Astyanax mexicanus: one gene and its partner. Each later gene encodes a partner of the first gene's protein in a complex. Links are inferred from orthologs where the notes say so. Each region holds a gene or a part of one and is shown on either strand. Other genes may lie near its edges.

Evidence for each region.
Region 2: the proteins of sv2a (region 1) and syt1a are in contact, whole or in part, in a crystal structure (PDB 4V11), measured with the Homo sapiens proteins. The link is inferred for Astyanax mexicanus from reciprocal best matches to the Homo sapiens genes SV2A and SYT1. Residues at the interface, in NP_001315603.1 of Homo sapiens: Asp82, Thr84, Glu85, Gly86, His87, Asp88; in NP_001129277.1 of Homo sapiens: Thr291, Lys314, Lys326, Lys327, Lys328, Glu342, Ser343, Phe344, Ser345.

Annotation. Positions count from the first base shown.
Region 1 is NC_064408.1:115,428,921-115,444,151, forward strand, and holds the start of sv2a (synaptic vesicle glycoprotein 2A), read left to right. Parts: upstream 1-8,787; 5' UTR 8,788-9,021; intron 9,022-9,690; exon of another isoform or gene 9,691-9,946; intron 9,947-15,231. UniProt on the Homo sapiens protein: Plays a role in the control of regulated secretion in neural and endocrine cells, enhancing selectively low-frequency neurotransmission.
Region 2 is NC_064409.1:25,632,368-25,648,368, forward strand, and holds the start of syt1a (synaptotagmin-1a), read right to left. Parts: upstream 7,453-16,001; 5' UTR 7,384-7,452; intron 1-7,383. UniProt on the Homo sapiens protein: Calcium sensor that participates in triggering neurotransmitter release at the synapse. May have a regulatory role in the membrane interactions during trafficking of synaptic vesicles at the active zone of the synapse.

The DNA of each region.
Region 1 (15,231 bases):
ATGAACATATCTATATCTGCTGCATTTAAGGTGGACATGTACAATTCTAAAACAAAAATAAGCAAAAACTTTTAAAAAGTTTATGCATCAGAATTGATTAATTTAGGATTGTCTTATAAGGAAATATTAGTAATAATAATAAATAATACAGCCAGGAAAAGAAGAACATATTCAAGCAAATGTTAATAATACAATAATAAGTGTAATAATAATACAATAATACAAGTAAAACAAGTACTAAAATAATATACAAGTAAAAAGTGTACTAAAATAATATTTTATAAAACATAAAATATAAGAATAAGCAAAATACAACAATATATACAAAAATATATGAGAAAATAGAAAGGTTATAAAAAGTTCTATAAAATATGGTAAGTAGTAACTCTGGGCTATACCATAATCAACCAATTTTAGATTTTGCACAGAAATAATACTAATAGCATTAAGAATAAGAATAATGACTTTTATATATAATTTTTATACACAAAATAGCTCAAAGTGCTTTACAATATAGTGAATAAAACATAAATAATCAACAATAAATACAGCAAGACAAAAAAAATAAGTATAACAAATGTATAAGCAAATTTTAAATAATATATCTAACAAATAATAATGATAAAATTATAAAATATGAATATATATGACAAAAGTATGAATATATCTATCTATCTATCTATATATCTATATTTGCAGCATTTAAGGTGGAAATAGAAGCTACTTTAGCTGCTTCAGCCATGAATCTGACATGAAAGTAAATATATCTAAAATTAACAAACCACTATTTAAAAAATCTAAATAGCTCTTAATGACAATCAGTTGTTGGTGCATGTTAAATATTTACTTCAATTTATCATTATTATATTATATATATATTAGTATATAATTAGTGTAGATATATATTAGTTATATTCTTTCAGACACTGAGAGATGTATAAAGTTTTATAAGGGGGTTGGGGACTTGTTTTATCAGGTCAGGTGTCTGTACTGAAACCTGTCTGACCAGAAGATCTTATCAGCTCCTGACAGTTCATTCTTATTTCAGTTTCACCCTCACTCTGCAGTCTCACGCTCGCTAGGCAAGGTTGTGGTTTGTCGTGGTGCAAGAACTGAACAGAAGAACAGAAAGAAGCTCAGCCTCACTTCCTCTTACATCAGCATGAATAATATGTCTTCATTACCGGACAAAAGTATTGGAACACTGTTTCTTTGAAATCATGGGTTTTAACAAGAGCTGTCTCTACTGTCCAAAGTGTAAAATGAGTGTAAATGTACAGAAATATAATAATCTAGGGGTAGAAATGGTTGTGCTTAGACATGGCTAAAATTAACTTTTCCTCAGATTTGGGTTTTCATAGCTCTACCTCAACCACCTTTAAGAGGCAAGCAGAGCTATATTAGGCTTTAGGCTGGTTTTATTTCTGCCTTTAAAACTGAAATAGAGATAAATAAATCAAAAGAAAACCTGAATAAATGAAGAAAGAGCGTAATACAATTGTGTCACTAACAGTGTACCAGATTTTCAATAGGCGCATATGATCTACGACCTGTAGTAGTAGATCTGTACTAAACAGCTCTGGAGATTGTGTTGAAACGCCTGCAGACAGAGAGCATGCTCAGATCTGAGGAAAAACAGAAGAGGAGCTGTTCCTTGACTGAATGAGAACATCAGTGCAGAACGTGATTAGACTGTCAGCAAGAACAGTTTGTCCACAGCTACTCTGAGAGAGATGTTATAGAAGAGAAATGCACATCTGTTCAGATCTTTCACTGCTCTAGAGGGAGGAGGTAAAACTGATCTGGTCACCTTTCTTCTCCACAAGCAACTGATGAGTTCATGTGTAGCATCTACCAAGAGAGCAGTCCAGGTCTAAGTGCTTGACCCTTCGATAATAAGGGGGAAGTGTGGCTGTTCTGTTCTGGGGGCCCAAAACCTCAATAAAATACTTTATGTAGACTTTTACGCCATGTGGAATTGGTCTGAATGTGCTTTATACACTACAACTAGAGAGTTGACATCTGCAGCTTTGGCAAACTGACATTATACTCGGCAACTGGAGTGTTGAAACATGAGCCTTGGGCCAGTTCCCATACTGTACTTGGCAACCGGAGTGTTGGAACATGGGGCTTGGGCCAATTCCCATAATCTATTTGGCAACCAGTGTGTTGGAACCTAAGACTTGGGCCAATTCCTATATTGTACTTGGCAACCAGTGTGTTGGAACATGAGGCTAGGGCCAGCTGACATACTCCACAACTGGAGTGTTGGAATATGAGACTCGGGTCGATTTCCATACTGTACTCGGCAACCTGAGAGATGGAACATGAGAATTGGGCCAATTTCCATGTTGTACTTGTTAACCTGAGGCTAGGGCCAGCTGACATACTCCACAACTGGAGTGCTGGAACTTAAGACTTTGGCCGTTTCCTATACAATACTTGGCAACCAGAGTGTTGAAACATGCAGCTCAGGCCTAGTGACATACTATACTCAGCAACCGGAGTATTGGAATATGAAACTTGGGCCGATTCCCATACTATAATCAGCAACCGGAGTGTTGGAAGACGCAGTTCGGGCCAACTGACATATTGTCCTCGGCAACCGGACAGTTGGAAAATGAGACTTGGGCCAATTCCCATACTGTACTTGGCAACCAGAGTGTTGGAACATGAGACTCAGGCCGATTCCCGTACTATACTCAGTGTTGGAACATGCAGCTCGGCCAACTGATATATTATACTTGGCAACCGGAGTGATGGAACATGAGACTCGGGCCGATTCCCATACTGTACTTGGCAACCAGAGTGTTGGAGCATGAGGGTTGTTGGAACATGTAAATCAGGCTGAATCCCATATTATACTCAGTAACCGGGGTGTTGGAATATGAGCCTTTGGGCAGTTCCCATACCATAGTCAGCAACCAGAGTGTTCGAACATAAGGCTCGGGCTAATTGACATATTATACCCAGCAACCAGAGTGTTGGAACATGATACTCTGACCAATTCCCATACTGTACTCAGCAACCAGAGTGTTGAAACATGCAACTCAGATTGAATCCCATATTATGCTCAGTAATCGGGGTGTTGGAACATGCAACATTTTATACTCAGTAACAGGAGTGTTGGCAAAAGTATCACAGGCTAACTGACATATTATGCTTGGCAACCAGAGTGTTGTCACATGTGGATTGGGTGGCTTGGGCCAACTGACGTATTATACTAGGCAATCCTGCGTACACAGGGCGGCTGATGGAAGTGATCATGACTGGTGGCTTCTGGCAAAAAGTTGTCCATGTAAACAAACAAACAATTTTGGCAGAAATCACATCAACATTCAATGCAGGAAACCACAAACACATACCTTATAGGTCAGTGCAGTGTCCTTTAGCTTCCATGGGACATGTCACAAGTCATGGGACAAGACTATTTAGACTTTTTCAGTCTAAATAGTAAAACTAACTCTAAGATTCTAGACTGTACTTTGCATACTTCACTTTAGTCTTTCACATTTACTTCTGCTTAACTCTGCTGTGTTCACTGCCTCAGCTGTTGCTCACACATCTAATTTTGGAGCTTTAGACTTTAATTTTAGACTAAAAAAAGGAAGAAGAAGAGCGTGAAATGATAAAGACGGTTCCTGTGCTGAGACATACTGGGTATAATAATTTTAATGGAAGCTCTACAGGGAACTCGGTCCTCTTTTCCTCCTCCTCGCTTGGTTTTAATAGCTCCTATTACTTTGTTCTTGAGTCATTATGTGATTGCAGTAATATTTTTGGCTGGCTATTTTTGGCCTTTCCTCCTCGAAACTTCCAGTTAACCTGATTTCTTTGAAGTAACAGGTTTAACAGGCTGCTGAAGGCCTGTTGAACTTTAACCCTGTGCTGCTGTGTTGTGAGGATACAGCTGGGCAGGACTTCAGTCGCTGAGGAGGCTATTACTCCTCCTACTTGTTGTGAAGTAATGGACTGAAGCAGAGCAGCAGAATAAAGACAGTGGCCTGTAGAGAAGAGATATAGCTCAGTGTGGAGGCAGTTCTATTACTGAATCAATCACTCTCTCTTTATTTAGCTTCTCACACCACCTACTGTTCTTCCCTGGAACTGCACCTGGCTGACCTTTGATTGCTGGCCCTGATTTTATTCAGTTTAATCTTATTTAGTAATATTACTTTGATCCACTTTTTATGTGGACATTTTGTCCCTGTGGATTAAACAGATTCAGTCTTAAAGGTCCTGTGGTTAAGGTGTTGCTTTTTAAGGTTGTTTAAATTCAATTCAATTTTACATATAGCGCTATTTACAACAGTAGTTGTCACAAAGCAGCTTTACAGAGAAAAACATGTCCACACCGCTTATTAGCAGCAACACAGAGATGCCAATTATTGTGGTGACAACAGTGGCAAGGAAAAACTCTCTTGGAAGAACCAAGACTCATTTGAGATACAGTTGTTGGAGATACTGTATATGTACTATATATTTATTATATATACAGCTCTAGAAAAACTGCAATTTATAGGTATATGTTTAAGTAAAATAAACAAATTATACGGACAACATTTCTCCCAAATTCCAAAGAAAAATATATTGAAGTGACTCAAATCAGATTTTTTGCTCAGTGTGGCTCAGATTAGATTTTTTCATGGCTGTGTGAACGTGCCAAATCAGATTTTTTCAAATCAGATTTGAGTCACTTTCATATGTGGTCCTAAATCAGATACGTATCCGATCTATGGACATGCGACATGAATGTGAACGGTCAAATCAGAATTCATGCGTCTTTTTGCTTTTACGCATGCGCTAAGTGCTTCTCTCTCGTACCCACAACACATCTCTTGGTGCAGCTGTGCAGCTATAGCTGCAAAAACAGCAAAAGACTTTTTTCACCTCCTCGACCTGAACATGTACTTCAGACCAGCAGTTTTCTCTACATTCGATTAAAATATGCTCCACATATGAGCTGCTAACACATTCATTGCACCTTTATAAAGCTACGAGTTGTGCACATGAGACGTTTCAGGGACAGATTTATTAACATTACACACAGATACAGATCACTTACATTTGTGAATGTGAACCGTCAAGATAGCCAAATCTGATCTGAGCAAAAAAATCGGTTTCTTGCAGAGTATGTAAGCTTAACAGATGCACAGCTAAAAGGCTATGTCTGTATATTTGCATCTGTGCATTTTAACTAGATTACCCGTGGTTTACTGACATGACTCATGAGTTGTGATGTAATAACTCAGTATAGGTGAATCGTTTGTGAGTTTCCCTAAAAAGCGACAAGCGTCACCACATTCACACCTCAGCTGTGTCGTGTAGCAGCAACATGCATAAGGCAATCCTTATTTGACAATCCGGTCACATCATCACACAGCCTGTTGCTAAGCACTGAATTACCCCGGCGAGTCGGATCAGAGCCACTGCAGCTGAAATATCCAGCGCTGGCCACAGGTCTCACCTGCTGTGCCTTTACTGTGTGCCTTAATAAAGACTGTGCTCGGCTCCCTTAGCAACAAACAGCTACTGATATCAATGGGGGATCCTCTGTCTTTTATTGCAGAAGAGCCATTGAAAAGGTGAATGCTACACTATGTGTCCACATGTTTGTGGACACCCCTTGTAAGGATTGCAGCGTTCAGCTACACGCAGCCAATAGAATAGTATTCTCTGAAAGGAGCAGATAATAAGCATTAACCTACTAGCACCATGTCTAATGCCAACCAATGGTGGACTAGTTAAAGGTGGTGGTGGTGGTGGGGGGTGGGGTGGGGAACTGAGTGGAACTGTGTTCTCTGGAATGAAGGCCAGCCAATATTTTGAATAGGATAAGTTGAGGATTTATGGATGATATGGGGTGGTGATTATCTAATATTCTCTTTTCATATCTTTTCAAGTTCTCATCACTGAATACAATCAAATCCTCACAGTTATGTTCCAAAAACTGTTAGAAAGCCTTCTCTGGACAGTAGAAACAGTTACCCCAAGATAAACGATTTAATACGCTTGATTTCAATAGAAACGAATTAAATGAATGAGCATACGTCCCAATACCTTTGTTCATATACTGTGTGGTGGTTGGTGGTTGGTGTGGTGCAGTGGATAACTGGTGGATAAGTGGATTATGAGCTACCACGTCATGTGGGAGACAGGGGTTCAGTTCCCAGTCTGGTTGACTAAATGCTCTGATACACCAATAAGAGTCCTTGGGCAAGACTCCTAACACTACATTGGCCAAATAATTTTATAAATGTAAATGTATTAGGGACATGGGGTCATACAGGACAGTGTCTAATAAGTCAGCATGAAACACACTTTAACCTACATGACAAAAAATATTATTAAACATTTAAAAACCTCTTATTACTTGTCTTTTGGTCAATTTAAAAATAATATGCTTGTAAAAACCAGTTCATAACGTTTAATTCAATGCAAAAGGTAATGTAAAAACCTCACACCTCATTTAACTTGGTTAGTAGAATAGGAAATACAAACATAACGTGGTTTCTGTTTTTGCAAGCAGTATGTTCATGTTTAAAGCAGAATGTGTGTGTGTGTGTGGATTCTCCATGATCAGTGCCATAAACAATGGTTTGCTATCACACGTCCTAAAGGTCTGGTTTTATGGTGTGTAGTGCATTTCAGACATGTTGAAATGTCATCTCATTTTCACTGGTGCCTTAAACTCATACACAGTACTGATATAACAGTGAATTCTGTCCAAATGGGCAAAAGGAAATGGCTTTGTCATATACTGTAGAGCCTATAGCCCGTTTACCCATATTACCCCACACACTGTCTTCTATGAACCCAGGCTTCATAACACCTGAAACCACCACTGTTCAATACAAGCTGGATGCATTTCAGCTAGAATTACAACTGTGCAAGCAAACCTTCATTTTTTATCTTCAGACAAAAATACAGTTTTATTTAAAGGAAGAATGAATAAACAGAAACTGTACTGTTAAAGAATTACCTGCAATACCTGAAATCACTCTATATCAGTGATGCTTAGCTTGTTGCCATTGCTTTAATTCAACTGACAGTTAAACTAGCACAATTGCATAAAATTGCTTGTATAGCACTTATAAGTTGTGTGGTGTTATCTCGTGAGTGAGGCTGATCAAGGGTCAATGTGCTCATGGCATGGCGACAGATGCATTACATGTATATTTCATTTTCAAAGTTGTGAGGACACTTATAATTCCTCAATCTACATTACCATGTGTCGCATGTACCGTTAATACGTCCTTGAAGACATTACCACCCACAGTGCACAGTGCAGTGGGTAGTAATGATTGTGATTTTTTTTTCAAATGCAGACAATTCTGAAGACAATCATTAGAAGGGATGTCCAAAAACAATTGATGCATTCCAAATGTCCAAAAGACGATAGGGTCACAGCTATCAGAAAACGAAAAAAAATATCATTTGGCAATGTTTTGAAAAGGTACCAGAAAGATTAGCCTGTAACCTTACAGAAATAATGTACCAGAATGATCTAAAAATGTGTAGTATAATAATGGTTTGCATCACAGTGTAATTAAAACGTTTCTCACATAATGTTCCCAGCTAGACTAACATTACAGTAAAACAAAAAATTAAAAGACTGACACAAGAAATGTTGCAGCAATGTTAGAATGTTAGATAGGGTACATCCAGAAAACTTAACAGAATGAATCTTCTAAAAACACTAACTACAATTTTCAGATGTTGTTCTACCAAAGAATTGTTAGCTGGGGTGATTGAAACAAAAGCCAAATGGAACAATTTAGCTTTGTAAGCTGTATTTTCTTGCATAAATACAAAAAATTTTTTTTTTTTTATTAGACCAAGCTTAGAAAATCAAATTGAACATCTTTTTTATTATTACAGAAATTACTCAATTGTTTGGCTAGATTATTCGAAGACAAAAATATAAAACAAAAAACCTAACTCGCCTTCATTTTAATGAGAAATTAAATAAATGACTTGCTTTGTTGTACAAGGCAACCTGTGTCCCATATTGACATATAACTCTCTACCCCCCAAAACCTGCACCCACCCTAGTGATACTTGATCCATCTCTACCACATCCATGCTAGATATATTGATTTCAGCTGCCATTTCAACAGTGCAGCTGAAATGCAGCTGTGACACAATGCATGTGTACATATAAATATATATATATATATATATATATATATATATATATATATATATATATATATATATATATATACATGTTCAAATGTTCACATATTTTCATTCAATTATGAAAAACATGTTACTGAATGGCTGTTAAATTTGGATGGGCGCTTATTTGTGCATCATCATCATCAGCATCATCATCCTCATCATCATCATCATAAAAAAAAAAAAAAAATGAAAGCGTGACGAAAAAAATTCCCCAGTGGTCTCCGATGGTCTCCACCACTGAAATATGGGCACGAGTGTGCGCACGTGCACTCCCACTCCCCCCTTTTTACGTCCTTACTTGGTACATATGTGCAGAATACGACCTTCATTTATATGAGAAATATAGCTGTTGGTACCTTCCCAGCGGGTATGACAGCCCCTATGTACAGGAAAGAAATATAATTTTCTTGATCCATTTAGGAACCACACTTTAAATATATACAAATATATGCTTATTTAAGTTCAATTACTCATATTTGTTTTGTATAATTCATTACAAAATGTACATTAAGCGAATATATGATTTATGAGCACCCCCTCCATGTGAATGGAACAGTCCTGCGTGAGAGATGCGGGGGGAGATACTCCAAGAAGTGCGCGGTGTAGTAGGGCAGCACCCTCCATACACACACACATATACATACACACACACACAGCTCTCCTCTTCTAGGGATACACTGAAGCAGCCAGACAGATCACCCTCATCATCACGAAAAACATTTAAAATAGCGTGTATATTATTTTTTTTTTTGCTGTTAAAACAACCCAAACAGGGAGATTGACGACGATTGAGGGGATCTAACAGTTACCACGAGCAGCCAATTAGCTATAATAAAGGTAAGTGGAAATGATTAATCATTTTTTATTATGAGTAACGTTGTATTTTAGCTGATTTAGTGGAACAGCTTGGTGAATGCATTTTATTTTAGCTAACCTGGTGCGTTGTAAAAATATAAATATATAAAAAATAATAATTTCATTTTTAGCACATACTCATTTTCACACCTGTCAAAAAAGATGTCATGGTAGATATAATGAGAATAACGTTATATATATTTTTTGAAAAATGTATACATATTTATGTGCATGTTAACGTTTATTTATTACCTCTTATGTTCATTATTAAACAAAAAAAAAACAAAGATATTTAAAAAAATTAAGGTAGCTGATAAAATCTTTTTACTCATGGGCATTGTTTAATATAATAATTTATACTAGCATGATGACCTATAAAATGCAGAAATAAAACAATATAAAAGTAAAATACTAAAAATTATACTTAAAAAAAACATAATTAGCATATTTTCACACCTGTCCAAATCATGTTACACGTCTCGAAATAATTTATAAAATATTATTAATATTTTCGCACTTCAGATTTGAAGGTTTTACTATGTTTTAACCTATAATGTACGTATAAAAATAATAAAATAAAAAAATATATATATATATTAAAAAATCAGTGCAGTCACGCGTCGCGTGCAGCATCTCAGCCATTCAAATTTCTGAGAGATGACGGTTGGTCTCTCAGCAGCTCTCCGTTGATTTCTGAGCGAAAAATGCGCAGTTTTCGCCTTAAAACCGATTAAAACCCAGCGTATCCTATCCATCAGCCGAGAGTACACGGTTTCCTGACGCAAAGTGATGAAAAAACGGAATCTCCTCCTAATTAATCGGTTATTTCATCGAGCGTTCAGTGAGGAGCACCGTTAGCCTTAGCCTCGCCCCTTCACCTTCCAGTCTGCCGATCCTAGAGAGTGAGGTGAGGTTAGCTAGCTTAAGAAGGGTCTCACTGCGAAATTAATGAGGTAGAGAGGTAGCTAGCCATATTTATACATGTGTGGGTTGATTATTAAGGCTGTTTGGTGAATACACTGAGAAAATGGGTCGATAATACGCCTGTTGTGATGTTAGGCATCAAAATGACCTTGCAGCAAACGTAGGCTAAAGGATGGCAACCTGTGGTTATAACCAGACTGGATGGGGGGTTTCTCAGACCAAATGCTAGTTAATGAGCTAGCAAGTGTGAATAGATGATGATTTTGGACATTTTTGCTCTGTTACATCAATATATATTAACCTTTAAACTGAAAGCCGTGGCATAAAGAGGTTTGCTTGGACACAGGCATGATTTCCCTGCTAAACAATCCCTGCTAACCTTGTTTAAGAAAAGCTGGCCATCCAGAAAAAGATCATTCCCTATGCTGGTCAAGAGCTAATTTATGTTCTTTGTGGATGACCACCTGGTTTTGAGCTAGATTTATTTATTTTTTGCAGAGCAAAGTTGTGGATGGAGAGGGTGATGCATTTGGGGTTTTTACGTTTTTCAGATTGAACAAAAATACCATAAAGGCCCCCAACATAGAATTATGAACCAGTGGAACCCTAAAACAGAAAAATATGACATAAAGGCGTTTGTCTGGAGAAATTCATGGTTTGAGGGTTTTTATGAGCAGCATGGTCATCCAAAAAAAAAACATATTCTATGCTGGTCAAGAACCAGTTAATCAGCATAGGGTATGTTCCTTGTGGAGGATGACCACTTGGTCTTGAGATGGATTTTTAGTAGAGCAGGGTTGTGGATGGAGAAGGTGATGCTTTTGAGGTTTTTACATTTGTGAGATTGACCAAAAATGCTATAACGGTATAGAGGGGAATATAGGCCACCAACATGGAATTGTGGAACAGTAGAACCCTGAAACAGAAAAATATGTCATAAAGAGGTTTGCCCGCAGAAAGTCATCATTTGTTAATGTAGTAGGTGATGCTTTTGGGTTTTTGCATTGTCCAGTCATCCAATTAAACCAGACTGGATGGGGGTTTCTCAGACAAAATGCTGTATTTTCCATTTCTATCAACCTTGAAAGTGAAAGACATGACTTGAAAAGGTTTGCCAGGGTACAGTCATGATTTCACTGCTAAACAGTCCAGCATAAAAACAATTGGTCATCTAGAAATTAAAAAATACCCTATGCTGGTCAAGAGCTTGTTAATAAGCTAGCCTACTAGCATAGGATATCTTCTTTTTGGATGACCACCTGGTCTTGTGCTGGATTTTTTTGCAGAGCAGAGTTGTGGATGGAGATGGAGATGCTTTTTTTTTTTTTTTTTTTACATTTTTTTTACATGTCAGATTGACCAAAAATGCTAGTCATGGGATTGAGGGGTAAAGAGGGGTATAAATACCACCAGCTTTGAGCTGTGAAAAATTAGAACCTTGAAACCAGTCTGATTAAACAAATATACAGTGCATAGAACTGTGGAAATCTTAGGACTTTGAAACCTTGAACCTTGAAAAATATGTCAAAAGTGAGTAGGTGATGTTTTTTGAGTTTATGCTTTGTCACATTAAACAAAAATGCTAGGCATGGGATAGAGGGATATAAAGGACCCAGCACAGAATTGTTGAACAGTAGAACCTTGAAACTGAAAAAAATATGATATAAAGTGCTTTGCCTGAATATGGCCACAATTCGTAAATGGAGTAGGTGATGCTCTTTTGGGTTTTTGCTTTGTCAGATTGAAAAAAATTCTGTGTGGGAGTAATGGACTGGTGGGTTTGATGAATAGCCTGTCATCGTGATGATAAGCTACGGTTGAAAATTCCACCGCCCCACAATATATAAGGCTATGAATTAGGCCTGTCTTGATAATCATTTTTTAAATAGAAATAATTGCAGTAACGAATATTATTGTCATTTTATGATATTATATATTTTTAAATGATAAAGTAATGTAATTCATTTGACAGGCCTACTATGCATGTTTTTTTCATAAAGTGTGTGTATAGTTGGATTATATATTCTCGTGTCTAATCATAAAATTAATGTTTTTTCTGTGTTCCTAAGCCAGTTTCTAAGTGAACACTTATTCCCAAAAGCAAATTCTGAATCAGATTACAGGTGTTTAAACTGAACACTTGTTCCAAACATTGATCTAATAGGCTTTTAGCGACAGATTTTAAAGGGCTCTCCTGATAGCTGTTCTCTGTAAGTTCATCATGAGTTCATCTACCTGTCTTTGCTTTTCTGCTCCTCTGAGTCTCATTTTGGGATGTATTTTTAGCCCAAGCTCTTATTCAAGGCTTGTTGTGTACTTTCTCTGTGCTGCTGTGCTCTTGGCTTTGTAACCTTGATAGGACCCCTCGGAGAAACGATAATGAAGCAAGGAATTATGGTAGAAGGCAAGGTTCTCGCAGGTAGAATTCGCTTTAATGAGTTCATTGGTCTTCCCGGCTGGGGTCCACATGTCACATGATCTTGCTTCCAGCCACCCATTGGTGGAGCTATTTCTGTACTGACCAAGTCATGACTTGCCACTGCGTTTGGAGAGGTGAGAGTGTGTGTGCAGTGGAGGTGGAGGATAAAATCTATTGAATGGGCCACATAGGCCACGCAGCTAGAACAAGAAACAGTAACATTATAAAAGAATTACAGGTCTGATTCTGCTGTAATTTAATAAAAATTGATTATCTACTAAAAGGGCAATGTAAGTCATATTGTGGTTTGATTTTACCACCATTGCATGCCACTTTATCAATAAGCTTGTGGTATATGTCTTACTAGGAGAGCAAGCCAGTTCAATATTGGTCTTTAAAATAAAGTTAGGAACATTTGGAATCAATGACCATGTTACACCTATTCACTTCATGTGACTAGCATATGGATTGTATCCTGATAAGATTTAAAATATATGCTTTAACACTTGGCAGTCACATAAGCTTCCAGTTAATTTAATTAAAATCTGATTGCTATGTGCAATGGAAATTGTGCATCAATTATTGCTGGTGTTACTGTTGTTGAATGCGTCTTGAAGATATGTTTGTGGATACACTTCTATAACTTGGCTCAAATGTCTTAAGTGGTTTGAGTGATCGAATTTGTATATTTGTATGTTTTAAATGCATCTTGGGTGTGTTTACACTTGCATATTTATGTGTCTTGGCCGTATCCAGGGATAATCCTGATATTCAAGATGCTCAGAGATGCATTTTTCCACAAATACAGAAGCTTGGAAGAAAGTAGTGTATGGGTCGAAAGGTAGATTGCTAGCATTCTAACCGGCCATGCAGATACCCGCCCACTTGCAACAGCCTCAAACACACCCAAAAGAGACAAACGTGGGGCGACACAAGTGACTTGTCACCTGCCAGCGTGAACACAGGTTTAAAGTGCAGATCATTGAAGTTCCACTACCTCTCAGCTACTCCATGCAATGAACAGAAAGAGTGCAATTCAGGCCCTTCCGTTTCTCCCGGTCATATAGAAATGTGCTCATATTATCACAAGGAAAAGTAATTGTTGGAAGTATCTGACACTGGAGAGACTGTTAAGAGATGAACAGTTGGATGGAATAGTGGCTGTTTTTTCAATAAAGCATATGGGGATGGGTACAACCAGCTAGCAGAGGCGTTAGACCTGTGGTGGCTTCAGTATTGCCATTGCCACTACTGTTTATTTGTTTTGCAGTCATTGCCTGTAATTATATCTTGATATATTAATGTACATTATTGTTTAAAAAAATATTTTGTCCACATTCCCACCAAGTTATTTCAGAGATGCTAAAGCATGTGATTTGGCAGTGTTATATATAAAGTATAGTCTGGTTAGCTTCAGTTTAAAGGTATCAGGAATAATTTTACGTCCAGGAACTGCAGTATGGCTGTCAAGGAAGGCTGGGTGTAGCAGCATCATAATCTCTCTTTCATAATCCCTGCAGTGGAGAAGTGGAAGGAAGCTCTTCTGCAGGGGAAATACTTCTGTTCCCATGGGCAATATCCACTGCCCCCCTAGTGTATAAAAGCAGACCTTATTTTAAGTCTGTATGAATGAATTTAGTTCTTGTTGTCTGTCAAGTGTTTTTAGGTCTTAGGTTTATATTACTTTATTTGGATGTTAACAGCACATTGCTAGTTCACAGATGTGCCGGAAGTCATGGGTTAGTAGGTAAATTGATCATGAAGTGTTATCTTAGGGGATAGGTTGAGAACATCCCCACCTGCAGTTGTGAGGTGTTATTTTGTGACTCCAGTCAGACATCGCATTCACATTCAATGCAATTCTTCAGATTCCATTGGACATGGCAAAAGTGATGGGATACCATACTAGTTTTGGCATGTCACTGTATAAAGTAGCATGCAAATTAATAGTTGAGTGAATAGTCAGAAATACATGTTAAAAATGAAACATGTTAAAATAAAACATAACTGTTTTGTGCAATTTCAGAAAAATTATATAATTTAAACTCTTAGATCATTTTCCCCCAGAATCTCAGATTTTGATTAGTTATTTAGGGTTATGACATGTTCACAATCATGCTTAAAGGAATTCCAAATCTTTATAAATATGTTTAGACTTACCAAAGCTCCCCAGATATAAATTAGACATGAGAAGATTCATTAGACCTAGAGCAGAAACAGACAGGAAAACTGGTTGTCAGTGTTCCACAGATCCAGGGTTAAAGGGTCCCTGGAGGTGTGTTTTAAATGTGTATCTATTCTCTCACTATGAAGACTAAATGCCTTACATAATCCCAGCCCATACAGTATAGCTCAGAGATGCTCAGCATATTAATAAGAGCTGTTAGCAGAGGATAAGGGCTCTGAGCATGTGCTTGTGTATGGTGGTGGCGGGGGCTAAAATGGATGCGGTGTGGATCATGGGTGAGCACAGCTGATGGAGCGCAGTGTGTCCATGGTGACAGCGCACTGCACAGATTTGTTACAATGGCTAATCTTCTCTTCTCTTCTCTTCTCTTCTCTTCTCTTCTCTTCTCTTATGTCCTTCTTTTCTGTTCTCAAATATGTCCTTTTCTTCTCTTCAATTATGTCCTCATCTCTTCTCTTCTCTTCAATTATGTATCTTTTCTTCTCTTCTCTTCTCTTCTCTTCTCTTCTCTTATGTCCCTCTTTTCTGTTCTCAAATATGTCCTTCTCTTCTCTTCAATTATGTCCTTCTCTTCTCTTCTCATTTATGTCCTTCTCTTCTCTTCAATTATGTCCTTTTCTTCTTTTCTCCTCTCTTCTCTTCTCTTCTCTTCTCTTCTCAT
Region 2 (16,001 bases), on another chromosome or scaffold:
CTGAGCTAACTTAGCCTTAGCCTTAGCCAAAAGAATGGTTGTATTTTATTTTATTTAGTCAAATACTTGCTTGATCACTTATCTTCCTAATCCAGTTTCTTGGCTCCTAACCTGACCATATTCTGGATCTTAGAAAAATATCAGCAGAAAACAGAAGCACAGCAGCAAAAGCTAAAGACACTGAGTGGGAACAAGCACATCCAGTACCTAATGCACTAAATTATGCCTGAATTAGCCCAGATCCAGATCTTCTGGTTCAGGACATCTGTACTATAGACACAGTAAAAAAGATCCATGTCTGTCTAGTTTTGGTTTAATTTATTTTAAAAATGACAAAAACTATTCCAAAAATATAATACGACATACAGTATAATAGTAACAATAATTGTAATAGCTTGTTTTTAATTTTGTTAGAATTTCATGACGAATGTACCACAATAAATGCTTGACTTCATAGTGAAGAAAGCTTCTTTACAGAATTAGTATATTTCCTCCACATTGGAGGGTTTTCAGAAATAAACTGCACTTTTAAGGTCATGCCACAGCATCTCAAAAGAATTCAGGTCAGGACTTTGACCAGGCCACTCCTAGTCTTCACTTTGTTTTTCTTCAGCTATTCAGAGGTGGACTTGCTGGTGTGTTTTGGATCATTGTCCTGCTGCAACACCTAAGCTCGTTTCAGCTTGAAGTCACGAACAGATGGTCTTCCAGGTCCTGAAGCAGCAGAACAGCCCCAGACTATCACACTACCACCACCATGTTTTACTGTAGGTATGAACTTTTTTCTTTTTTGAAATGCTGTGAATTTGCCATTTTTGTCCAGTCTATTTCTTATATTGGCATCATGAACACTGACCTTAACTGAGGCAAGTTCTTCTGCAGTTCTTTGAATGTTGTTGGGTCGGTTGTGACCTCTTGGATGAGTCGTTGCTGTGCTCTTGGGGTAATTTTGGTTGGCAGGCCACTCCTGGGAAGGGTCACCTGTGTTCCATGTTTTCTCCATTTGTGGATAATGGTTCTCACTTTGGTTTGCCTTTAGCCTTAAGCCTTTAGAAATGGCTTTATAACCTTTTCCAGACTGTTTCTCATTTGTTTTTGAATTTCTTTGGATATTGGCAAGTCTTGCTTTTGAGTATCTTTTTGTGGACTTTGCTTTGTCCTGCAGGTCTTAATTAAGTGATTTCTTGGTTAAGAACAGGCGTGGCAGTAATCAGACCTTGGTGTGGCTAGAGAAACTAAACTCAGGTGTGATAAACCACAGTTATGTTTTAACACTTTGCCTTGTAGGTTTGGATTTTCTGCTCCCTTAATAATAAAAACCTTCATTTAAAAACTGCATTTTGTGTTTACTTGTGTTTTTTATCAGTCTGAAACATTTCAGAGTGACAAACATAAAAAAATTTCACACCACTGTATATAGATCTGATTTTTTTTATGTGTAAATGTATGGTGTTTGTTATTAGTGACATACATTATCACAGGTGTTTCCAACCTACGTCAGTGGCTGCCATAGGGACTGACTCTGACATCATTCTATAATTCATTAATACATTTCCTACAAACCCCGGGAGGCCTGTTTATAAATAGTCTTGTTTAAAGTGAAGCCTTTAATCACTAAACATTTTCAGTTTAAAACAGCTAATATGATAGACAATTTTACATGACACCACTTCAGCCATGTCTAATGCAAAGATAATGTGGGAGATATAAATTAAATATTAATACCAGATAAAAATTTAGAAATTGCAGTTACCCAATGTATAGAAATTGCAAACGTGATACTAAATAAAATATTACTACTACGACCACTGAATTATGAAAGCACTGCAATTATTTTTTTTTTTTTTTTTGGTCGAAACCAAACAAAAATAGGATTTTTTTACAAGTTTGTATCAATTTTTCTATATTTTCCACTGTTAAATAGATTAAATAGCATATATCTATTCGTATTGCTTTCAAACAAATACAAAATAACAAAGCAACAATTTAAATATTTGTATTAAACATTGAGCATTTTGTACTTTGTCATTTCAAAAGAATAAGTTCCTTTCAGTAAATTGACCAATATTCATAACATATCTATTTTAACTTGAATTTCACAGAAAATATAAATACTATTTCTTGCATATAAACATCTGAATAATCCAATAACACAATCAGCAAGTATACAGCACATACTCTCAGAGTGTGACCTTGGCATTCTCTCCACAGCCTCACTACCACATCATCTGTTCAACTACATTTCCCATGAGGCCTGGCTGCTCATCATATTTATGACCTGCAGCTCCGAACTCCAGTAATGTTCCTCCAGTACAGATTGTTTATCTCCATCACCGGGCTGAAGGTCTGAACTCCAGCTGTGGTTCTTTATCTTGATGAAAATCTCTACTCTCAGACTTTATCAGAAACCCCTCTCTTATATACAGTTAGAGACGGACGTTCAGCTGATTATGCACAGTGTGTGTGTAAACTGTTCTGTAGTTCTTCAGCAGGGGTCAGACTCTGAACTCAGAACTGTTTGTGTTTAGATACTTTTGGATGGTGGTCATACTCTTAGCCACTGATTGTATACATGATATAATGATATATACAACCAATAAAATCATTGGTGGATGAGCAGAACCAATGATGACATATAGATGTTATATATATGTACATACAGTATGTATTCATTTATATCTATACATATGATACAGAAATTTGGGGATGAGCTGGAGGGGCGCTGAACCACTGACTGTACAGCATATAGAAAATATAGGCTAAATCATATATACAGCCATTGTGGGTGGAGCTAAGCCACTAAATGCATACATGATATATATGATGTATACACTCATAGGGAGCTAAACAGCTGAGTGTGCTGTAGATCAAACAAATGATCTGTACAGTCTGTATGAACAGGAGATAAACTGCTGACTGTATATATGATATACAGGGTCATTACAGTCACTGGGGGAGTAGCTACACTGCAAACTGCACGTACGTTTTATATATTCTATATGTTCTATATATTTATATAAAGTCACTGGACAGATCTGAACCCACAGACGGTATTTGTAAAAAATGATCTGTACAGTCTATAACGGGAGGTCATAACCCACTGACTGTATGTAGGTAGAAGACTCTGAACTGCAGACCATGTATAGAATATATACCTATGTATATGTAATTTATATATAACATATATTTAGTTAACTTGTTGCATCTCCACACTTTCTGAAGGCTGCAGAAAAAAGCAGAAGTACGGAAACATACGCATCGAGGCAGCAGAAGGGTTTTGTTTACTGCCAGTTGCCCTCGGCACCCCAGCCCATCTCCTCTCATTAATGGATATTTAACAAGCCTAATAAAAGATGACGTTGCCCCTGGCAGCAGCGGGGGGGCGTTAGTTATTCGGGTCCAAACATCTGCCACCTCAAACCGGCCAAACAGGTCCAGCCTGGGCCGGCCGGCACCGAGAACTATTCTCAGAGGAGAGTTTCACACCTGATGCTTTATCAGACAACACACTCATCATCCTCAAATCTCAGCAAATCTCCCAGCAACCCCCAGAAAACACTGAACTCTAATTAACAACCAGGCTCAGCATGACTTACACCCACCACATGCAAAATATACAGTGTATATATATTTTTCATTAGTCAACACTATAGAAATAAAAATAGTAGTTAGCATTCAGCTTGTATAACAATACCATATTTATTGCACTATAAGGCACACTTTATATCCTTTAATTTTCCCCAAGATCATCCTGACTGGTTGTAAAGAGCAGTAAAGCAACTCCACTATACTTAATTTTACAGGACTTTCAGTTTAGTTCTCCAGCAGCATTAGCATTAGCTGCTAACCACGCTAAGCATTAGCTCTTTTACCGTTCAGAGGTGAGTATTATCAGCCTGTAGCTTGCATTTTACTGTGTTAAAACAAGCTACGTGGAATGCACCACTAGCTAATATAGCCCTGGATTACCGGAACACTCAGGGTTTCTCAGTGTAGCTCTGTTGGGTGAAATTAGCCGCTAACCTAATGCTAATGCTAATGCTGCTGCACCCAGCCTTAGTGGAAATCTGTGAACTGCTGAACTAGAAACGAAACACTGCGACATGTATTAATAGTGCACCTTATGATCTAGTTTACCTTATAGTGCAAAATATATGGTATATATGGGTAGTATAGTATATGAATCTTGAGTATAGTATCTTGGGTAGAACTCTCTCAAACTATCCACTGTATATTCAACATGGCACCTCATGGCAAAGAACTCTGAGAATGTCAGAAACAGAATTGTTGCTCTCCACCTTAACTGTCAAACAGCACAGTACCCAAGTACATACAGTCTTTCATTAGGGTGGATATATTATTATTATTATTATTATTATTATTATTATTATTATTATATATTAATAACCCACTAAACATAGGTATTGTGATATTGTGAACGGTGAAGCTAAATGCTAAATAGGAGTTTTTACAGTGGTTAATATGCTCTGATGCACATGATTAACTTGGCTTTGGCCCGATCACCATGGTGTGGTTTAGCGGGCATCACTGTGCTTATTCTAAGTGCTAATGTATTCCAGAATTGGGTCTCTGCTGAAGGGCATAAGCTCAAAGTTCCAGCTGAGTGGTACCGACCCTCTGGACTAGCAGACCGGCCACTGACCACCAGCCATGAACAGATAGGGACCAATGACCACTGGACTGGCAGCTTGCCAGATCAGCTCAACAGACTCAAACACAGGCTTTGGCATACCATAACCATGATACATTGATCAGCCATAAGATTAAAACCACTTCCAGTTTAACAAAATAGCATTGATCCTGTAACAGTTTTGCATATATTAGGCAGCGAGTGAATAGTAAGTTCTTAAAGTTGACATGTTAAAGCAGAAAAAAAGCTTAAGAATCTGCAAGACTTTAACCAGAAACAAACTAATCTTCCAGTTCAGAACATAAAGAAGGTGTTGTTAACGGTATGCAGTGGTCAATACTAGCGGTGCATATTTCTCCCTCTACAGCCCATAATATCATTATACCATTTACGCAATCAGTGAGAGCACAAGCTGAACTCTAGTGATCTCCAATCCCTCAAGAACCATCATTCAACAATATCTGATAAAACCACATTAACCAGAGATTACTTTACTAACCTTTATCATTAACAAGCTCTACAATACAGAGTTACTATATTCACTAATACCACTCACAACTTTACTGTACAGAACACAAGCTCTACAATACAGAGATACTATATTCACTAATACCACTCACAACTTTACTGTACAGAATACAAGCTCTACAATACAGAGTTACTATATTCACTAATACCACTCACAACTTTACTGTACAGAATACAAGCTCTACAATACAGAGTTACTATATTCACTAACACCACTCACAACTTTACTGTACAGAACACAAGCTCTACAATACAGTTACTATATTCACTAATACCACTCACAACTTTACTGTACAGAACACAAGCTCTACAATACAGAGTTACTATATTCACTAATACCACTCACAACTTTACTGTACAGAACACAAGCTCTACAATACAGAGTTACTATATTCACTCATACCACTCACAACTTTACTGTACAGAACACAAGCTCTACAATACAGAGTTACTATATTCACTAATACCACTCACAACTTTACTGTACAGAACACAAGCTCTACAATACAGAGTTACTATATTCACTAATACCACTCACAACTTTACTGTACAGAACACAAGCTCTACAATACAGAGTTACTATATTCACTAATACCACTCACAACTTTACTGTACAGAACACAAGCTCTACAATACAGAGTTACTATATTCACTAATACCACTCACAACTTTACTATACAGAACACAAGCTCTACAATACAGAGTTACTATATTCACTAATACCACTCACAGCTTTACTGTACAGAACAGAAGCTCTACAATACAGAGTTACTATATTCACTAATACCACTCACAACTTTACTGTACAGAACACAAGCTCTACAATACAGAGTTATCTCCACCCAACAGAGCCTCAACCCACTACAGAGACCCTCCACTCACCATAGCTTCTTTACCTAGGCTTTTCATAGGCTTTACCCTCCAGAGTCTCCACCCACTCTTCAGAGCCTCCATCTGCCAAAGCCCCTACCCAATTTACAGAACATCCACCAACCTGAGCATCCACCTACTCTATAGAGGCTTTAATCTCCAGAGCCTCCACCCACTCTCAAGAGCCTCTATCCAATACACAGAGCCTCCTTCCACCGGAACCTCTACACGCCAGAGCCTCCATCTATAACAGAGAACCCATAAACCAGAGCCATCACCTGCTCTACAGAGCCTCCATTCACTACACAGAGCCTGCACCCACTACAGAGAGCATACAATCAACAGAGCTTCTACCTATTCTCTACCTTCTAAAGCTTACACCAGCACTACAAAGCATCTACACGCCAGAGCCTTCACCTGCTCTGCAGAGCCTCCACCTGCCTGAGCATCCACCCATCAGAGCCTCTACCCATCAAACCCACAACTTGCTCTACAATGCCTCCACCTGCCTGAGCCTGCCCCTAACTGAGCCCCTATTGATCAGAGCCTTAATCCACCATAGCCTCCACCCTCTCTACAGAAGCTCTACCTTCTAGAGCCTGCATCTACTCTAAAGAGCCTCCATCCCTACTCAATTTACAGAGCGTTCACCAACCTGAGCATTCCCCTACTCTATAGAGGCTTTCTCCTCCAGAGCCTCCACCCACTCTTCAGTGCCTCCACCTGTTTTACATACTGGGGGAACCCTCAGCACTCGGAGAACAGGTGGGATGTGATGGGTTACAGGTGTAAAGTGGAGGCAGGATGGATGAGCCGTGTCTTCAGAAGCTCAGGAAACCTTTGATCTTGTTTGCTTGTTTGAGATGTGTTCTGTTCACTTATATATACCTCAAATTCACATTGTTAACATGCATTTATATAACACCACTCATCCGACTTTAGAGATCACACCTCCTTTTTTTTAGTTTGTGTGCAATCCTCTCACACCTTTATATAGTATATATACACACATATACATACCCATACAGTATATATAAATATAAAGTATATACAAAGCAGTTCCAGTTCCAGTTCCACAGTTTAATATACAGCAGAAGAAGGAAACCCTGCTCAGCTCACACTGGCATCTCCATCGATACCACCAAGCTGCCATATATCTGAGTGTGCATCTGTGTGTGTGTGTGTGTGTGTGTGTGTGTGTGTGTGTGTGTGTGTGTGTGTGTGTGCCAGGGATGCCACCAATCAGTGTAAATGCCAAGGGTGTGTTGTGTCTGATCCAGTGCATCTCTGTCCAACCCAAAGCAGCAGAAACAGAACCAAGCTCGCTCGCCTACCTTCAGCTGCAGAGACGCTGTTGATCGCCCCGACCCGAAGGAGGATGTGGAGAGAGAGAGGGATGGAGGAGAGCAAGAGAGGGACGCAGAAGGAGGAGCCTTACCAGGGAGTGGTGGAGCGAGAGAAAGAGAGAGAGAGAGAGAGAGAGAGAGAGAGAGAGAGAGAGAGAGAGAGTAAGAGAGAGAGAGAGAGAAAGAGAGAGAGGCTGACGTTATTATCTGTGAAACCCACAGGGATGCTTGTGCCTGACAATGTGATCCCACTGATAGAGAGAGAGAGAAAGAGAGAGAGAAAAGAGAGAGTAAGAAAATTATTAAAAATCAGAAAAGAGACAAAGAGACAAAGTAGTACAACAATAAAAGAGAGATAAATGAGAAGAAAATAAAATAAAAAATAAGGATTAAGAAAGTGGGAAAATGAAAAAAGGAGAAAATAATAAGAAAAAAGGAAACAGAGACAGACAAGGACTGAGGCAAGAAGTGAAAGAAAAAGAAATTAAGAGAAAAAAAGAAATGAAAGAAAAAAAAAATATGAAATGAAAGAAGTAGTGAGAAATAAATAAGAGACAATATAGAAATGAGAGTGACCAATTGAAAAATTAGTGTAAAATTAAAGAGAGTCAGAACTGAAAGATTGGAGAGACAGGAATAAGAAATAAGAGAGAGAGAGAGAGAGTGATGAGAGAGAGAGAGAGAGAGAGAGAGAGAGTGATGAGAGGAGAGAAAAAGGAATGAAAGAAAAATTAAGGAGAAAGAAATTGTGTGAATGTTTGAAACAATGGGTAATGGGTAACAATAGAGAGTAAGAAAGAGATAGAGAGAAGATAAAAATGAGAACTAACATATTAAGAAAAATATGAAGAGAAACAGAGAAAGTAGGGAAAATAAAGAGAGATAAAGATAAAGAGAAAAAGAAGAGAGAGAGAGTTACTGTAATGAAGGGGATTTCTTGCCTGTTTAATTGTTAGCATCACTGCTCTCCCTCTCCCTCTCTGGCTCTCTCTCCCTGTTGGAATCCCCCCAATCAGAAGGACCAGGATGAAGTCCTTGGTTCTGATTGGATGCTCAGTCGTGATGAGAACGGCAACGGTTTTCACAGCTGAGATCAGCCCTCAGAGTGTGGAAATTAACACACACACACACATACACTCGGAGCACTGGGACAATGACGAGCAAGGACATCCCCTCGAGAGACATACAGTAAGTGTGTGTGTGTTAAAGGGGAACTTCACCAAATTTAAAATTCTCCACATAGTTTTATAATAACAAAGTGAACATAGGGTTTGTTATGGAACGCTTGGTTCTAGATAATCATCCCCTGTTAGAACAGTTCACTATAATGGTGAATGGAAGCAGACAGATGAAGCTCTAAAACAGCTCCTAACAGCAACAAATGGCAGAAAATAGTCAGTAAAAAAAACAGTATTCGCTCAGATGATGCACATTTTACCAAAAACATTCCATATAAAACTAAGAACAAGCCAAAGTTATAGAAAAGAAACTATTGTCATGTCCTGTGATTTTTAACATGTTCAATGCAAGCTAAAAAAACATTGCTCTGGCACGTGGGATATGTGGACCTCAATATTAAACCTTACTCCAACTCCCATAATTCACCTGCACCCACTATCAGACCACACTCCAACTCCCATAATTCACCTGCACCCACTATCAGACCTCACTCCAACTCCCATAATTCACCTGCACCCACTATCAGACCACACTCCAACTCCCATAATTCACCTGCTCCCACTATCAGACCTCACTCCAACTCCCATAATTCACCTGCTCCCACTATCAGACCTCACTCCAACTCCCATAATTCACCTGCACCCACTATCAGACCTCACTACAAATCCCATAATTCACCTGCACCCACTATCAGACCTCACTACAAATCCCATAATTCACCTGCACCCACTATCAGACCTCACTCTAACTGCCATAATTCACCTGCACCCACTATCAGACCTCACTCCAACTCCCATAATTAATCAGCACCCAATATCAGACCTCACTCCAACTCCCATAATTCACCTGCACCCACTATCAGACCTCACTCCAACTCCCATAATTCACCTGCACCCACTATCAGACCTCATTCCAACTCCCATAATTCACCTGCACCCACTATCAGACCTCACTCCAACTCCCATAATTCACCTGCACTTGCTATCAGACCTCACTCCAACTCCCATAATTCACCTGCACTTGCTATAAGACCTCACAACAGGTGTTTATATGCATTCCCACTTCACAATCTAGTTCCTGTACAAATGACTGTCCCGTTACTTTTGGCATGTGTTCTATGATTTCTAAACTGCTAAAAAGCTTATTTCTACAGTAATTCACTGTTTTTGATGCAGCATGCGTATTGACATATTCAGCCTACAGCTGTTTAGTTCCACCCACTCACACTGAAGACAAGCATAGTGTTTTGGTTCCAGCAAAAGTCACCAAAAGTTTCACAGACTGCTGACACAAATGTGCAAATGCACACACACAGCTTGTTTAGCCTCTGTCATTGAAACTTGTTGCCAATACAATAGGACTCTCTGGAGATAAATGTTTAAATATGAAGATTTTGGCACCATGCTTAATATCAGGTGTAGTTCAGAGGGGTGGAGTTCCATTCAGTACTTTTGGCCATATATTGTAAAATAAAATAGGGGTATGGTGTAATGTACAAGCCCTGGCCTGCCACTTCACACACACACACAGAGACACACACACAATCTCTGAGAGATTGTGATTTCCCAGGAGAGCTCCATCAATAGCAGCCATGTGATTGTGTGTGTGTGTGTGTGTGTGTTCTGGCAAGGGCATGTACTAATTAAAGAGATGAATTCAGAGGCTAAGTTGACCTCTAGTCTGGAAGGAGGATTCTAACGGACCCGCTATTATTCCGACCCGAGTTCATTAATACTGAACCAGCCTGCAGACAGTCCAAACACACACACACACACACACCAGTCATGCATAATATTATGACTGCCTGATGTGTTAGCGTGTGTTGTCTGGGTATGAGTGGATCAGATACAGCAGTGCTGCTAGAGGTTTTAAACAATGTGTTAAATCACTCACTCTTTTACACACTCCTACCTACAGCTGCTTCACCTTTTAGATAAAATAAAGACACAGACAGAAGTTTGTGTTGCTCATTCTCAAGTTTTTCATCAGTTCCCACAGGATGCTACCCACACAATGCCACCCACAGGACATTGCCCACAGTACACAGTACTGCTGTATTTTTGTTCCATTTGTGTCAGCACAACACACACTAACACCTTATGCATCAGGGTCCTGAGCATTAGGGAACAGGGTGGTTAATAATTGACAAGAGGTTAATAATAAGGTATGGACAGAAATAGATACAGGACTACAGTCTGTAATTATGGTGGCCAGTAGGTGTTTCCAATAACTTGGCCATATAGTAAGTGGAAGAACAATGTAACGTAGGTGTCTTGCAATAAAGTGACCATGTAGTGAGTGAAGACACTAGGTTGAGTAGGTGTTTCCAGTAAAATGGCCAGTAAGTGTAAGCAGGAATGTGAAGGTTGTGAAGCGAGGCCTGTATCCAGATAACAGCACAGCCGAGAGTTTCTAATGTATTGAACGTTAACTTTGGGGTGTCTGTAATGTGGCATTACCACACTGCCAAGCGGGTTCATTGGGTATAAACACACTCCAGTGTTTGCGCAGTGTTTTGAATGTTTTCTTGCAGTGTGTGTGTGTGTGTGTGTGTGTGTGTTTTGAGTTCCTGAGGACAGTCGTTGCAGACGCTGTGCAGCAAATGATCCTTTTCACAGCCGGAGCTGCCAACCAAGTACCAACTCGCTGGCAGTAAATGTAATTTGATGAGAGCAATGACTTTCTCCACTGCCACACACACACACACACACACCTGAACCTGCAGACCCTGCAGTTTTATGCATAATAAACAGAAGCTGCATGCTGCCGTGTGCCCGCTGAGGTGCCACCCTTCTGGAATCAGTTCCATAAGCTGACTTTGCGCATATGTCCACCCTTATAGAGGGTATACTATAGAGGGTGCCATACTGATAAATAATATACAGTATATAATATACACTGAACTGTCTGATAAGGTCGTCTGCTCTTTGATCTTCCCTTGACTCATCAGATGTTACATTTCACACATTTGATGTAACTTTGATAAGAAGTTCAAAGACAAAACTTCAAAGGGACACTTCTAAGCTTTCATGACAAAGCTAACAGTAGGAAGACTCATCTTAAAGGCATAGTTACCCAGGATATTCAGAGATGTTCAGTGATGTTAGCCAATAAGAAGTCAGTGTTAGTGATGTCAACCGATCAGTACTCATTATCAGTTATGTCAGCCAATCATTTCTCAGTATCAGTGATGTCAGCACATCAGTTCTTAGTATAAGTGATGTCAATCAATCAGAGCTCAGTATCAGTGATATGAAGCAGTTCACTGTATCAGTGATGTCAGCCAATCAGTTCTCTTTATCAATGATGTCAGCCAATCAGTTCTTAGTATCAGTAATGTCAGACAATCAGTACCTAGTATCAGTGAAATCAGCCAATCAGATCTCAGTATCAGTGATGTCAGCCAATCAGCACCCAGTATTAGTGATATCAGCCAATGGGTTCTCAGAGTTATTGATGTCAGCCAATCAGTTCTTAGTATCAGCAATATCAGCCAACCAGTTCTCAGTATCAGTGATTTGAGCCAATCAGCACTCAGTATTAGTGATGTCAGCCAATCAGCACTCAGTATTAGTGATGTCAGCCAATGGGTTCTCAAAGTTAGTGATGTCAGCCAATCAGCACTCAGTATTAGCGATGTCAGACAATCAGTACATAGTATCAGTGAAATCATCCAATCAGATCTCAGTATCAGTAATGTAATCCATTCAGTAATCGATATCACTGATGTGAGCCAATCAGCGCTCAGTATCAGTGATGTCAGCCAATGGGTTCTTAGTTTTAATGATGCCAGCCAATCAGTACTCACTGCAAGTGATATGATCCAGAATGATCTAGTATTCAGTGTCAGTGATGTGAGCCAATCAGCGTTCAGTATCAGGGATGTCAGCGAATCAGTACTCATTATCAGTGATGTCAGTCAATCAAAGCTCAGTATTAAGGTTTTCAGCAAATCAGTGAACAGTTCTCAGTACCAGTGATGTGAGCCAATCAGCGCTCAGTATCAGTGATATCAGCGAATCAGTACTCAGTATCAGTGACGCAGTCAATCAAAGCTCAGTATTAAGGATGTCAGCCAATCAGTGAACAGTTCTCAGTATCAGTGATGTCAGCCAATCAATGACCAGTTCTCAGTATCAGTGATGTCAGCCAATCAGTGACCAGTTCTTAGTATCAGTGATGTCAGCCAATCAGAACTCAGTATCAGTGATGTTAGTCAATTAAAGCTCAGTATTTATGATGTCAACCAATCAGTGGCCAGTTCTCAGCATCAGTGACGTCAGCCAATTGGTAACCAGTTCTTAGTATCAGTGATCTCAGTGAATCAGTGACCAGTTCTCAGTATCAGTGATGTCAGTCAATCAAATCTCAGTATTAATGATGTCAGCAAATCAGTACTTAGTGTCAGTAATATCAGCCAATCAGTACTCAGTAAAAAGTGTCATAATATAACCCCTAATTTAAGTAATTGCAATCAATCACCAGCCATTCTACTCACAGCCAATTAACATTCAGTGTTAATGTTAGCCAATCAGCACGTGATAATGCCAATCTGTTTCCAAGCAATCAGCACTCATTTGTAGTAATGCCAGCATTTACCATCCAGTAGTAATGCCAGCCAATCGGTGCTGAGTAGTAATGTCAACAAATCAGCATTGAGTAATAGTAAAACCATTCAGAACTCAGTATCAATGATGACAACAAGTCAGGAATTATTAACAATAATGCCAACCACTTAACTCTTAGTTAACAGTAGAGCACTAATGTCAGCCAATCAGTTCTCAGTAGCAGTAATGCCAATCAATTCACATTTAGTAGTCAATCAGCATTCAGTAACAGTGACGTCAGCCAGTCAGCACGCAGTAGTGATGCCAGCCAATCAACTCTCAGCCATGGAAATGCCAATCAATTCTGTAATAATGCCAGCTAATCAGCATGCATTAGTATCTAGTACTCATTATCATTGACATCAGCAAATCAAGACTTAGTTTCAAGGATGTCAGCCAATCAGCATTCAGTAACAGTATCTCCAGTCACTGTGGTCTTGCTGTTGGTATAATGTATGGAACAGGAAGGTGTAAGACTGGGTCTGGTCATTTATTCCACCATGCTAACGGCTATGCTAATAGCCTTCCACTGCTTGTTAGCTGCATTAGCCTCGTATCTCCAGGGCTAAAGCTAAATAAGTTGAACTCCAGACTGTGAGCACTTTCTGCCGGACAGTCTGCGGTCAGTACAGGTCAGTCTACAGTGCCGCTGCTGAGCTGAGAGCAGCCCAAATCTCTGAGCAGTGTCCAGTTTACAGCCTGAGGCCACGTTCAGCTTTACTGCACAGGGTGTGAGTGTGTTTATATCACTGTGTTTTGTGACTGCAGCATTTTAAAACCAGCCCTGCATTATTTTAGCTTCAATCACTTCCTGTAGCTGGATTACCTTAGGTCTACCCATAGACACTCATCAGGAGCTCTAATTGGATGCTGTCAGAGGACCATAAGCATAATGTAGTATTATGAAAACAGTGTAATACTCCCCTAGCCCACACCTGGCATTAGGCATGGTGTCAATATTTCTATGTCTATTTATCTGCTCCAGAGAGTCCTACTCTATTGGCAATAAATTTCCACAAGTAGTAGACAAGCTGTATGTGTGCATTTGCCCATCTGTGTCAGCAATGGATGAAGCTCATGCAACCCACACCTAATACAGGTGTGAAAGGTGATGTGAACTATAGGGTGGGTCACAGATGCAAAATTAAACCAATCAAACATAGTGATCTCGGTCCAGATCAGTTGATCCAGGGTCTGAACATTTTTTTGGCAATTCTGATTTGAATCAGATCAACTACAGGAAGTTGAGTCAGGCTATCATCACCCATTAAACAATAGAAGAAAAAAAGAATAAGTGTTGTGCCAAAATCTGTCTTCTCTTCTCAGCACAACATTTGGTAAGGCAACTTGACAAACTGAAAACATGCAACAAACCAATCAGTGTTGATTATATGAAGACTCCACCCATGTAGGTAATGATAACAGGATGTAAAAATATGTTTCTGCTGGGTGAAACTGAACAAAACTAAACAAATTAAATACAGAACAAGATACAATGTAGCAAAAGCATGTAGCTTAGTTTAGGGCTTAGATTAACAGAGTTAGAGGCCTGCCAGTCTAATAGACTTGTTTATATGGTTCCTGACACTGTAACACTCTCTGATATCTAGAACATTATCTACATATCTATAAGGATTAAAGCATGAATGCAACCTTCAGGATGCCTACAAATACACTAACCAAGCTAACGATTTTTGTATAATAGAAAGTTAAAATTAACTTTCTAAGAATGTTAAATTTTTCAAGTTTTCTGGATGTTTTTATTCAACATTTTCAAATGTTCTGTTAACGTCATTTGCAATCAATGTTTTAATTTTTAGTTTTGTGAATGTGAACTTAATGTTTTCATAATGTAAGTACTTGTCAAGCTGAGAAACATTCTAATTGTTATATTGCAAACCATTATTGTGTCACATGTTTTCAGAATGTTCCTAAAACATTATTATTGTAGCGTTACAGAGTAACCTTCCTAAAACCCTTTTAAAATGTTGCCAAACATTCTCATAACGTTCTCTGTAAGCTGGGAAAACACTTTAGACCTGAGAAAGAGATTCAGTAGAGATGAAAGTGTGTGTGTGTGTGTGTCCTCTGAGGACAGAAGGTGTCCCAGCAGTTTTGGCTGGCTGGTTGTGTAGCTGCAGGTTGGGCTGAGCTGGCGGTCGGCGGGGGCACCAGCTGCACTCTCTCCACTGCCCTTCAAACCCTGCCATCCCTCTGACTCACAGCGCTGGCCAGCGTCCAGAACAGTATAAAAAACTGCTGCTCCAGGATTGGCCCGAAGCTCGACCCGACCTGAACCCAACTGGACAAACAGTGACAGGATGACGGGGCTCAGAAACAAGACCAAACACTCTAAAAGAGATTCTCTCAGAACAGAAACAGTATTTAACCTTTACTTTCTACAACATTCCAACTGCTCTCAAAACATGACGGTTAATATATAATATACACACATCAGCCAGAACATTAAAATCACCTGTATCAAATTACAAAATTCCACCTTGTGTCAATCATGTTGACCAACTTACCCAACCGCTCTATGACCAAGCTGCTCTATCAACATCATCAACCTTGCCCGTTTAGCCATCCAGTAAAATCAACTGGTCTAAAAGCATAACCAACTTGACCAAGCCAGTCAACCAGCGTCACCAATCTCAACATATTAGTCATCCAGTAACACTGCACTATCCAACCATTATGACCAACTTAACCAACAAGTATGACCTAAGTGAAAGATTTAATGTAATTATAAGACGGTTTCTTGTAAAACAACAGTAATAGTTGTTAATCATAGTAAATACAATAACTGTGTTTTATGAT